Nothobranchius furzeri: one gene and its partners. Each later gene encodes a partner of the first gene's protein in a complex. Links are inferred from orthologs where the notes say so. Each region holds a gene or a part of one and is shown in the gene's direction. Other genes may lie near its edges. The genes, in order: pdzk1, akap10 and slc15a2.

Region 1 (3,751 bases):
GCAAAAAGAAAAAAATACCTTTTAATTAACCCATTTGTGCAATTTTAATACTTGGATTGGCTACTTTCACAACTCATTTTATTTATTATTTATTTTCATAAAGTAATTAAGTCAGAAAAAAATGATCTATTGAAACACAAGCTATGATTGGGTTTGTCTTTTTCATTTGAGAAGTACACCAATAACATTTGAACTACTTTGACCCTATATCTGAGTTGTCCTACATGCTACTATGACTTATACTTGTACTTCACTCTGAAGTTGTTAGATGAGTAACAGAACACACCTATGATAACATAAACCACTCCTATGTGGTTTTCCATCAGCAACAGCAACACTCTCACCCTTAGCAACACATGTTATCTGCTTATCTATCTATATGCCTTATGACTATAGGAGAGGAGGGTCTGTTCATGACTGAGGTGATTCGGGGGGGTGTGGCGGACAAAGCAGGAGTTCGTGCCAAAGATCGTCTAATTGAAATCAATGGTGAGAACGTTGAAAAATGCACCCACGAGGAAGCAGTGAACAAGATAAAACAGGGGGGCAACAGCGTGATGTTTCTGCTGGTTGATGAGGAAACCGACAAATTCCATCAGAGCAAACAAGCAAAATTAGGTTCGTGGAGAGCAACAGTCAAGTATCTTCCTCTCCATCCACGCATCGTCAAAATGACCAAAGGATCAGATGGATATGGCTTCCTGCTCAGAGAGGAGCCCAACCAAGCAGGCAAGGCCATGGTAACATGCTGTACTTTTCACTCCGGAGTGATGGCCTAATAATGTACTCCTTTACTTCTTTCAGGACACTTCATGAAGGAAGTAGATAAAGGCAGTCCAGCGGAAAAAGGTGGTCTGATGGAGAATGACGTAGTTGTCGCTGTGAATGGCAAAGAGGTGGACGGCTACAGTCATGAGCAAGTGGTGGACTGGATCAAGCAAAGTGGAGACAAATGCTGCCTCCTTGTGGTGGACAAAGAAACACAGCAAATGTATAAGAAGGTGAGCCATAGACCTAACCTGGAAAGCCAACTTATATTTGTAAAAGTCTGGTCACGAGTCACTGAAACCACCCAGCCATGAGGCTAAATCTACGGTTGTCTTTCAAACTGTCTATGCATGCAACTGGACAGTGCTAGGACCAGTCAGAGCAACGAACAACATGATGTAATCATCACTACAAATGTTAGTCAGCATGGCAGTTCACCATACACCGTTGAAGGAGAAGCAAATGTATCCTTCTTTGAAATAAATGACTTAAGTACCTCTATCTGCTCATATCCCAAAGTAGATGCTAAAGCTATTTCAAATGAGCGCCATTTCTGAGCTGACGCCATATTTGTAGTGTTTCTCCATCACAGCTCTAACGTTAAGCCTGTATAACACATTTGAAGTGTTGTAATTGGCAAGACACAAAACTGATCAGGCCATTGATAGACCCGCTGACGTTCCTATGGAGCGTGGCTAGACCGACCTGCAAAGCAAACCTTTTTGCTATTAGTCTGGATTTCTAGGCTCCCACTGACTCACTGTTCGTCATTAGATGTCTACTGTAGATAACATATTGTCATGCTGTTTCTCAAAGGGAAAAATATCTCCTATGCTCTTCTGGGAGGAAAAGAAAGACTCCAACTTACCACCAAGTTACACAGAAGCTTTAAAAATGCCTGTTTCTGCTCAACCATCCACATCTGTTCAAGAGACGATAGAAGACCTTCGACCAAAGCTGTGTAGGATGGAGAAGACCTCTTCTGGTTTTGGCTTTCACCTAAACGGCATCGAGGGTGTGTGTGGTCAGTACATCAAGGAGGTAAGATCAACATAAGTACTCAATTTCTCATCATTAGTATCTCACAACCAAGACAGAAAACACCATTTCTCTCAGGTGGTGAAAGGTGGACCAGCAGACAAGGCCGGTCTGGGAGACGATGATGTAGTGGTGGAGGTAAACGGGGTAAATGTGGAAAAGAGCTCTCATGCAGAAGTCGTGGAAATGATACGCAGAGGAGGCAACACTCTGGAGATGTTGGTGGCCAGCAAGAATGTCTATAAACAGCTCAAGGACAAAGGCATGACGATCACACCACGGCTAGTCGGGGAAGGTCCCAGCAGTCAAGTCCACGTGTCAAACAGTCCAGAAACAAGCAAGAAGACACGGGAGGAGGCCAGGCCTGTGACCCCACCTAAGGCAGAAAAACAGAGGGTGAGTGCTTCTCTTCTCTTTTAGTAATCAACACTATAAAGATGTCAATGATCCAAAAGTCAGTCCTCCTCTTTAAATTGTATAAATTGCGTGTTTTGTGTGGAAATATTTGGTATCTTCTAACACCCATGTAGCACTACATTAACTGGTTCTTCATCTTAACACTGACAAAAGTCCAAAACCTGTTGAGAAATTCAGTGAATCTGATGTGTTGCACGTTTAATGCAATCTGTTTAATCACATGCAGCTGCTGTTGCTCAAATTATAAACAATACACAAGTTTCATGTTAATTTGAACATTTCTATTCAAAACATTATGAACACAAAATTATACACATTTCCATTTAGTTTTGGATTTTAAACCTTATATGCTGCCAGTTTACCATCTATGGTAGATCTATAATGAAAAAGCATGCTTTTCTGGTCTTTTTTGACAAATCATGTTCGGATTTATGAAAGTATTCTAAAAAAACAAGAGAATGTGTACATTTTATGTTCTAATTAGCTTTTTGTCTCTTTTGTATTTAATTTTTTGTATCTTTTTTCCTTTTCTTTTAGTCTACATCTGTGTCATCCTCTTCATCTGATGAAAGTCTCGACGAGAGATTTTGAGGAACACTTGAAACACTCCCAATTAGGCCTAATCGGATGTTAATTTTATTAAAACCAAAATGCTCAATGAGCTTTTGATATCCTGCTTAGATTAAAACTGTAAAAAATGAGTAAAAACTAGAAAAAAGACAGTAAAGACTGTAAAAATCTGATCCATAGCAGAAGTTTCATGAGATGATTACAAAAAATGACATTTTTTTAAAGCTTGTGATCAGAAATCTTTTGCTTGTCGATCAAATTTAAGCATCAAAGTCTTTCTTACAGCAGAGGAAACCAATAATTCAGGATGTTTTTAACAATTAAGAGTGGTCTTTTTATTCTCTTTATGCTCTCTGCTGTTTTTATTTAATGTTGAAACAGAAATGCTGCTCACATTTAGAAACCAGAAATAAAATTTATTAAAACAAATCAAAGAAAACATACCATCTGAGTTAAGCCTGACTTCATGAGTTTCTGGTCTCTTAAACCAAAAAGCAGATCACATTCAGTGTTCACTCCTTTCCTTCTTACTCTGATGTTAAACAGGAATGTAAAACAGATAGTCCAGTGTACTGAGACTCAAAAAGCAATATTCCTCTTCTGAAAAACCCAAAAATATATAATCTAGGGGCATAGCAAATACAATTTTAGTTTTTCAAGAACATCTGCATTCTTTATAGCAGTGTTGTTCTGTAAAATACTGCAAGAGTCCACGACTTCCAGGGTTTTGTGTAAAAACAAGAGTAAACGAATCTCTGAAAAAAACACTGGCCCAAGCATCAGGAGTTCATTTGTGAGCCAGGAGCGATTCCTCGGGAGTTCAGAGAGTCATGTGCTTCTCCGGGGCCTGCTTGTGGGCGAGATAAAGGAAGAGGATGCTGGACAAGGCGCTGACCAGGAAGATGACATCAAACCAGCGGTGGTAGAAGTTAAACTGCAGTTCTCCCAGAACCTCACT
Region 2 (4,005 bases), on another chromosome or scaffold:
CCTTGCACTTTGAAGCTATTTTCACAAAAATGTCTTTTAATGGACATAAACACCTTATTGTGGGTAACATTTATTGCCCTCCCTCCCTCCTCTCCCAAAAATGAAGCAATAAAAAACTTAATAGAATTATTTCAGTCATTGTGGGACTCTAGTGAAATTATTTTACTAGGGGATTTCAATTTAATTGGCTTGATAATTCTACTCTAGCCGAACGTAATCTACTAAATAGTTCGAATTTGTCGCATAAATATATATATATATATGCCTGGCTTACACCATGCAGGCTTTATTTATATATTTTTTATTTCACTATAATTTTTTTATTTTGTTTAATTTTATTTCGTTTATTTATGAAATTTGTGTTTGTTTTAACATTCTAGATTTGTTGTTTGTACATTGACTCTGTTATCTTTCTTTTTTATTGATTGTAAAGAAAGAGGACCCACTCGAAAACGTGATGGCTCATCTCAAGCGGTTTTCATCCTCATAAAATATCAGTCAAAATAAATAAATAAATGTTCTTTTTGTCTTTTCTGCTTCATCAGATGAAGGTTTTCTTTGTTTATTCTGAGCCTCCACCGCAGTCAACACGATACAATAAACACCGACCACCTCTAGCTTGTCCGTCCAGAGGTGTAAATATGGATTACTATGAAGCGGTACTGCTTCTCATGACATAAGTGCCTTTGTGAGACTTCAGATCACCAGTCTTGGGAGGGTCTAGTTGCAAGTACAGTATTCAGCTCACAAGAAGCGGAGTGGGTAAAGAGACTATTCTTGATTAAAAAATATGACAAAGTAATTTATTGTGCCTTTAAATTTCTGCAACAATTAGATTTTTGGTGTTTGTTTTTGCTTTTATTCACTATGTGGTTTTGCATAAAACATCTGGGTGGGTTTTGGCTGTCTGGCTTCTCGGTGTACCTACATGTGTTTAAGTGGAAGTAAACAACTTAAACCTGTGATCGTGGCGTGATTTATTGCTCATTTAGTGAAGTTAAAATGCATTTCCTGCAGAATCAACGATCTATGTTGATCTATATCTGAGCTCGGTTGGTCATCCTTGCCGTTTGTTCGTAGGTATTTCTCACTCCAGGCCACGAACCCTCTGGGCTTTGGCGACTCTGTCCGGATGGAGATCGAGTCCAACATCTGTCGAGAGGGAGGGCCTCTCCCTGACTGTTTCACCACTCCGCTCAGACAGGCCTGGACCACCATGGAGAAGGTCAGATTCAGACATTTGTAAATGTGTTTGTGTGTAGAATTCATTAAAAACCACCATCTCTCCATTAAACCACGTTAATGTACTCCACGTGGATTCAGGAAGCAGATTTTAGGTTGTTTTCTACTTATTTATGTTTATTTAGCCTTTTCTGAAGTGATGATTCCTTTGGACAGTTGTGTCTCACTGACAAATCTCTCTTGTCCAGGTGTACTTGCCCGGCTTTCTGTCTAACAACCTTTATTACAAATACCTGAGTGACCTCATTAATTCAGTGCGGGCGGATGACTTTGTGAACATCAGTTCTCAAGGTCAAGGCGGGCCGGGGGAAAACGACCGCTCCAGTTCAAATGCCAGCGAGGCCTCTCAGACCCAGGTGAGCTCCTCCGTTGCCCGTGGGGATGTTCTCTGTCTGCTGACATTTAGACCCGTCCTGCTGACGTTCTGAGGTTGTGATCCCTCCTCTCGTTTAGCTGTATCCATTAGAAAGAAACTATGTTACCCAGAAGGCTGCTGAACATTTGGTTTGTTGTATCTTTGTTGCAGCAAGGTGCCAAAAAAGCTTTGATCAAGATTCTGAAAAACTTTGACGAGGCGATCACGGTGGACGTCGCCAGTTTAGACCCCGAGAATTTGTACCAACGGCCATACGCCGGGTGAGTTTTAGTGTTTCTACTCTGCAGCCACAGAAAACGCTCGCTCCTTTGTTCTCTCTTCATCATTGTTCATTGCTCCGTTTTCACAGAAAAATGACTTTTGGGAAGGTGAATGAGTTGGGTCAGTTCATCAGGGAGGCTGAGCCAGAACCAGATGTGAAGAAATCCAAAGGTATACTCTTCTTTTTTTCTTCTTCTTCTGATTTCTGCCGTCCTTATCTGTACAGTTTTGTCCTTGCAATGACAAGTCTGTCCTCTCTGCAGCAATGAATATAAACGTCATCTAGCAACTTCTGAAATATTTAAGAACTCTTCTTTTAAAAATTGCTGCTCCTAAATTCTGAGATCCTTCCCTGTTGGGGAAGCAAGCGTGTCGTTTAGTGATCGGATCACTCAGGATGCATGTTGGAGCGAGGGCTGAGTGGGATCATAGTGACTAGGAGTGAAAAAGACCAAATTCTAAATATATTATGAAATATTTTCATTTTATCGATGCTTGATGTTTATGTTTTCTCCTGTTTAAGGTTCCATGTTTTCTCAAGCAATGAAGAAATGGGTCCAAGGCAACTCCGATGAGGTAATATTGAATGTTATTAATAAACTACGTAAATGACCATTGTGAGATGTATAATCTCACACTGTTTTGTGAAGATTGTGGTGATTAAAGAATTTAAATAGTGAAATCTCTGCTGTGGCTCTGATGATCAAGGCCCAGGAAGAGATGGCGTGGCAGATCGCCAAGATGATCGTCAACGATGTTGTCCACCAGTCAAACCACGACAGCCCCGGTAAATCCACCAAGGTGAAAAATCTCGGCTGTGATGGGTGGGATTATGGCTGATCTTCTCCTGAGGGTTTTCTTTTTTTTCTTTCTCGTAGTTATGACCCCTCCAAGGAACCAAAGGACAGGCGCTCCCTGCAGACACAGGCTTAGCGAGTGATGAACTGCGGAAAGACTTCACACTGCAATGAAATGCATTACTCTTAGACGGAACACATCGTTTTATCATCTCCCCATCATTGTGTGAGTGAGTGAGTGAGTGAGTGAGTGAGTGAGTGAGTGTGAGAGAATGTGTGCTTAGGTGAGTGATTGTTCACTCATGGACCAGTAGAAAACTTGAAGTACATCATTGTTCAATCTTCCAGTTCCGTAACACTGAAGATGTTTTCCACCACGAGTGAAGCAGCATCAATCAGCAAGGAAACGCTCGTGTGGACGGAGTCGATCTGCGTGTTTCTGATTAACATCGACACACAGAAGTAGCAGCAGCGTGTCGGAACTATTACTGCTTTGTCTGTCGTACAGCAGACAGGTGGAGGACGTGACAAAAACTGAACTAAGCCCCACTCCTTCATGGCACACGTCCTCACACCTTTTCTAGGCATTCCTTGTTTTTACATGGACCTCCATCGTGAGGGTCGGTCTCCAAGAGCGTATCAATTAAAAGCGTTGTACAGGTTTTGCGATCTTTTCACTCAGTTTAACGAGTGTAATGATTCTGTCATCTCGTCTCTGTTAGTCGTCCTACATTGCCGTTATGTATTGTGGAACATTTTGGCAGTGAAATACCCATGCTCGGACTGGCTGACCCTCTTCATTAATATTAAGGCACCTTCAAAAGTACTCGCTATTGAACCTAAAGTGCTCTGGCGATGTCAGAAATGCAAACTCCATGCCCTAAAGGTTCTATACATATATAAATATAAATGGATATTCTGGTTTAGCCCATATATTAATGTTTGTTTTTTTAATAGTGGTCTTAGTTTTTTAATTACATCACTGAAAACCTAGCTCAGTGAAGAACGGACTGCTGGAAAGAGTGCTCAGTTAATTTTACTTTTTTTATTTCCTTTGAGCCTTACCTAAATGTGGAAAGGAACCAGAAAAAGTCTTGGTACCATGTACCTTTAATGTTTTCTGACATGTATGCGTACTTGGATCTATAATATATTTAAGATGTGTTTGATTTAAATACAAATATTACAAAGTGTATAGTCTCCCTTTTTGTACATCTATTAGAATATATTGACATTCTTTCGGGACTGTTACCACATCTCACCACGTGAGGGCAGTGTTGATTATTTGGTTTCTAGGGAAAAGATACAGTTTGTTTTTCTGTCATAAAT
Region 3 (3,650 bases), about 6.7 Mb from region 1:
TCTGAAAGTGTCTGATTAGTTAAAAAACAAATTGTTTAGTTTAGTTAGAGTTTTAAAAAAGTATTGTCACTATTTTCCTTTTCCTTTTTAATTTTATTTTTTACAATATTGATGAATTGGAAATTCAGAGAAAATAACTTGAGAATACAATGCATGTTGATGTAGTTAGCATGGCATTTTTTAACATAGTAAACATGTTCACACATAGGAAGCATCAATATGGATATATCTTATGGCGGTAGCTCTTCTGTACTTTCATTGTGTAAAAGTAGCTCACGGTCTCCAAAAGTTTGGGGACCCCTGTTCTAGAGACTGGAAACCTAGTGTCATTGGTTGGGAAACCATTGATATTTAAGATCATGCAAGTTTTCCCGATAAGTGATTGTAGCTTTTGCAGCCTGTGAGTTAGCAGAATGATCCCGTCAGAACTAATTTAGGCACTTCCTCACATTTGCTGGAGCTGCGATGAGACAACACCACTGCAGCCTGATTGGATGCTTTATTGGTCCTAAATCCAGAACTGAAACTAATGTGACAGTGACAGATGAGAAGCAGTGCAAAGCAGAAAACCTTCTTAGGAAAGTTTGACTCATAAGCTGATGTTTCATCCTCATCAGGCTGTGATGTTAATGCAGAGGCTGTGTTTTTACAAGTTGGGCTCATCCTCATGCATCCTGACAGCCCGTTTTCTCTGCCTGTTGGTCCCTGTCACCCCTGGTCTCTGAAATTCATGCCTGACTGGCTGGTTTTTGGAAAAACAAAGTATGATTTAAGGAAACCAGAGGGATGAATCACAGGAAGGATGAGACTGGAGGATCGGTCCAGTCCAAACGGTGTTGCTGAACCGCAGAAACATGACGAGGCGCTTAGATCCTGTAGTTTCTCACCCTTATGTGATTGTAACACTGATTCTTCATGCATCCTCCGCAGCCGTGTTCATTTTTGGCAGCAGTCTTTACAAGAAGAATCCACCTCAGGGAAACATCTTGTTGCAAGTCTGCAACTGCATCGGTGTGAGTGATCTCGTCTCAGACCAATCACATCAGTTTAAATCAGTTCAGTGTTTGCCCACTCTGCTTTCTCTGAATCTTTGTTTGCAGTTTGCTATTAAAAACCGCTGGAACAGCTCCAAGTCTGCCCCAAAGAGGACGCACTGGCTGGACTGGGCTGAGGACAAGTACTCGGTACGAAAACCTTCCTCAAGAATGATTCCTGAGAACGTAAACTGTAAATTCCTGGAAACATTAAATCCGTTTATTGTGTTCTTTTCCCAACAGAAGCGCCTGATTGAGGAGATTAGGATGGTCCTGCGGGTTCTGGTGCTCTACATCCCTCTGCCGATGTTTTGGGCTCTGTTTGATCAGCAGGTACAGGAAGACTCAGCGCAGATCTGCACATCCTGTTTTTATGAGCTACAGTTTAAATATCAAAAGCAGTTTAGTGGGAATTTATTATCTTATATATTATGGATAGCTTCCTGAACAGCCTCTGTTTAGAGAAATAGTTTAGAAAGGAGCTAACGGCTAATATTAGCAAGTGAAACTGGTTTTTAAGAATTGCTTTTTAATATAATTGTGATATTCTGCTGCTTGGCCACAGAACAAGATACATTTAAAACAAAATGACAGTTTTATGACTTTGTTTAGCACAAATATCAGAATGAAAACAAAGTTTTACAGAATTTTAAATTTCCTGCAGCCGGGGCCATTTGAAGATATTTGGGGGCCCTAGGCAAGATGGACTTCATCCCCCCATCTAATTTAACCTTGAAATTGCTGCTCGATTACAGAAAACCTTAAAAGCTCCAACATTCCTGCACCTTATTGTCCTGAGATTGTTATTTATTCACAGTTTATTCACGGCTGTTTAAAAAGTGTCCAAAAATGCAAACAAACTCTGATTCCCAGAAAAGCCTGTTAGCTGTTTAACCAGTTTTTCACCATTATCCTGGCTGGTGTGACATTTCAGTTCTTCTGTAGTCACAGCTGATCTAATTGGGGTTTTCTGTCCTGCAGGGTTCTCGCTGGACGCTCCAAGCCACAAGAATGAACCTGGCTTTTGTAAGATTCTCCTTGCGTTACCCAAAATGATCAAAACCAAATGCACTTTGACATCAGACGTGGACTTTTTGGCGTGTTGCTGCAGTTTGTTGTTTTATTCCAGTAAACTATCTTGTTTATGACTGATGAATCAGATACTCATCAGGTCTTTAACAGAGTTAAAGTTTAAACTTCTGACCTGCTTCTTTCCTGTTGGCTCACAGGGAGAGTCCTTCACTATCAAGCCTGACCAGATGCAGGTAGGTGCAGAAATGAACTTTTGTGGCACCCCCCCCCCAGGTGAGATCGACCCTGTTGGGTGAGCATCACCCATCCTGACACAGAAGCTCCTTCCTGTGAGATAGGACCACACCCATTTTCAGGTGTCAGGTCCAATAGGAAAAGGATCACTGCCTCCCTGTATTTATGTGCTAATGATAATAAGAAAGTATATTTTATTTAGCACCTCTCGAGATAAAACCCATGAGGCGCTTCGCAAGAATAAAAATTAAAAAACAAATTAAAATGATTCAAAAATATAAAATTGGGAAATGTAAAAAATTGTGATTAAAAACGTGAGAAAAGGGAGAGAGAAAATGAATAAGAAAGAGGTAATCAGTGGATCCTGGGAATGGTGGAGTTGGTAAACAGCAGATTAAAGGGGCATTATGGAAGTTTGACAGCCAAAACATGTATAGAAATAATAAATGTCTTCTTCATACATTCTCCTGCAATGCCCTGGTCCTGTAGAATGAGCCCTGGCATTTTTACTGTGATTGCCTGTTTTTCTGTAAAATCACAGAAAAAGAGAGCTGCTCGGGTCGAGCAGGCTGCTTCATGCGCGTTCACGCTCAGGCATAGCCCGTAGCATTTGCTATCAGTAGCTTTAGCAGCAGAGAGAGAGGCAGTGCCACTTTGTCGCTGTTCCTAACGCCTAGTGACAAACCTAGCTACATTTCTGAGGACCCTTAGCTACTTTCTGTAGAACTTTCTTCTAGATATTTCCTGCAAATTAGCAACAAAATAGCCATTTTCGCTCCGAACCGTTCTTTGGATTGACGTTGTTTCAGCTGTTATCAAGGATGTAAAAGTTACAGATACATCAAATGTTACTGGTGCTTTAGCTCACCTAGTAAGATGGCTGACTCTCTTGCTGAGGACCTGGGTTTGATTCCAGGTGTGTACATAGTTTATTTGGAGTTTCTTTTTTACAATAATGATAATTGTTTTACCATAATATGACGCCCAAATTTTTATTTGAGACTCGCCGAACGGCATTGAATTCACAGATTAAAAAGATGTGGGTTCAACTTTCATTTTGGAACAATTTTTCAAGCAAGGGAAGGGAATGATCTGAGCATGCAGGAGGACTGACCCATCTTAAACCTTTGTCGGCTGTGCTGAAGAGAAAGGTACAGAACCAAATTATTTAATTAATTAACTGCACGTTCTCCTGTCCTCTGTCCTCCGGGCCACACACACACACACACACACACACACACACACACACACACACACACACACACACACACACACACACACACACACACACACACACACACACACACACGGGACTGTATCAGCTGTTCTTTTTGTTGAGTGTGCACGCAC

What was found.
Region 2: the proteins of pdzk1 (region 1) and akap10 are in contact, whole or in part, in a crystal structure (PDB 3TMH), measured with the Homo sapiens proteins. The link is inferred for Nothobranchius furzeri from reciprocal best matches to the Homo sapiens genes PDZK1 and AKAP10. Residues at the interface, in NP_001188254.1 of Homo sapiens: Asn386, Gly387, Tyr388, Gly389, Phe390, His391, Leu392, Asn393, Ala394, Ile395, Arg396, Phe402, Lys404, Tyr436, Glu437, Val440, Ile443, Gln444; in NP_009133.2 of Homo sapiens: Pro655, Leu656, Glu657, Lys658, Ser659, Thr660, Lys661, Leu662.
Region 3: the proteins of pdzk1 (region 1) and slc15a2 are in contact, whole or in part, in a crystal structure (PDB 6EZI), measured with the Homo sapiens proteins. The link is inferred for Nothobranchius furzeri from reciprocal best matches to the Homo sapiens genes PDZK1 and SLC15A2. Residues at the interface, in NP_001188254.1 of Homo sapiens: Asn386, Gly387, Tyr388, Gly389, Phe390, His391, Leu392, Asn393, Ala394, Ile395, Arg396, Gln407, Tyr436, Glu437, Val440, Ile443, Gln444; in NP_066568.3 of Homo sapiens: Glu723, Thr724, Lys725, Lys726, Thr727, Lys728, Leu729.

Annotation. Positions count from the first base shown.
Region 1 is NC_091754.1:24,601,089-24,604,839, reverse strand, and holds the end of pdzk1 (Na(+)/H(+) exchange regulatory cofactor NHE-RF3), read left to right. Parts: intron 1-396; coding exon 397-729; intron 730-804; coding exon 805-1,001; intron 1,002-1,584; coding exon 1,585-1,809; intron 1,810-1,884; coding exon 1,885-2,202; intron 2,203-2,760; coding exon 2,761-2,814; 3' UTR 2,815-3,236; downstream 3,237-3,751. Other genes in the region: si:ch73-390b10.2 (Golgi pH regulator), read right to left, coding at 3,614-3,751. UniProt on the Homo sapiens protein: A scaffold protein that connects plasma membrane proteins and regulatory components, regulating their surface expression in epithelial cells apical domains.
Region 2 is NC_091750.1:53,062,318-53,066,322, forward strand, and holds the end of akap10 (A-kinase anchor protein 10, mitochondrial), read left to right. Parts: intron 1-1,080; coding exon 1,081-1,225; intron 1,226-1,430; coding exon 1,431-1,598; intron 1,599-1,768; coding exon 1,769-1,878; intron 1,879-1,967; coding exon 1,968-2,050; intron 2,051-2,402; coding exon 2,403-2,455; intron 2,456-2,587; coding exon 2,588-2,666; coding exon of another isoform or gene 2,667-2,680; intron 2,681-2,757; coding exon 2,758-2,819; 3' UTR 2,820-3,502; downstream 3,503-4,005. UniProt on the Homo sapiens protein: Differentially targeted protein that binds to type I and II regulatory subunits of protein kinase A and anchors them to the mitochondria or the plasma membrane.
Region 3 is NC_091754.1:31,331,412-31,335,061, forward strand, and holds part of slc15a2 (solute carrier family 15 member 2), read left to right. Parts: intron 1-930; coding exon 931-1,013; intron 1,014-1,100; coding exon 1,101-1,367; intron 1,368-2,015; coding exon 2,016-2,060; intron 2,061-2,263; coding exon 2,264-2,299; intron 2,300-3,650. UniProt on the Homo sapiens protein: Proton-coupled amino-acid transporter that transports oligopeptides of 2 to 4 amino acids with a preference for dipeptides. Transports neutral and anionic dipeptides with a proton to peptide stoichiometry of 2:1 or 3:1.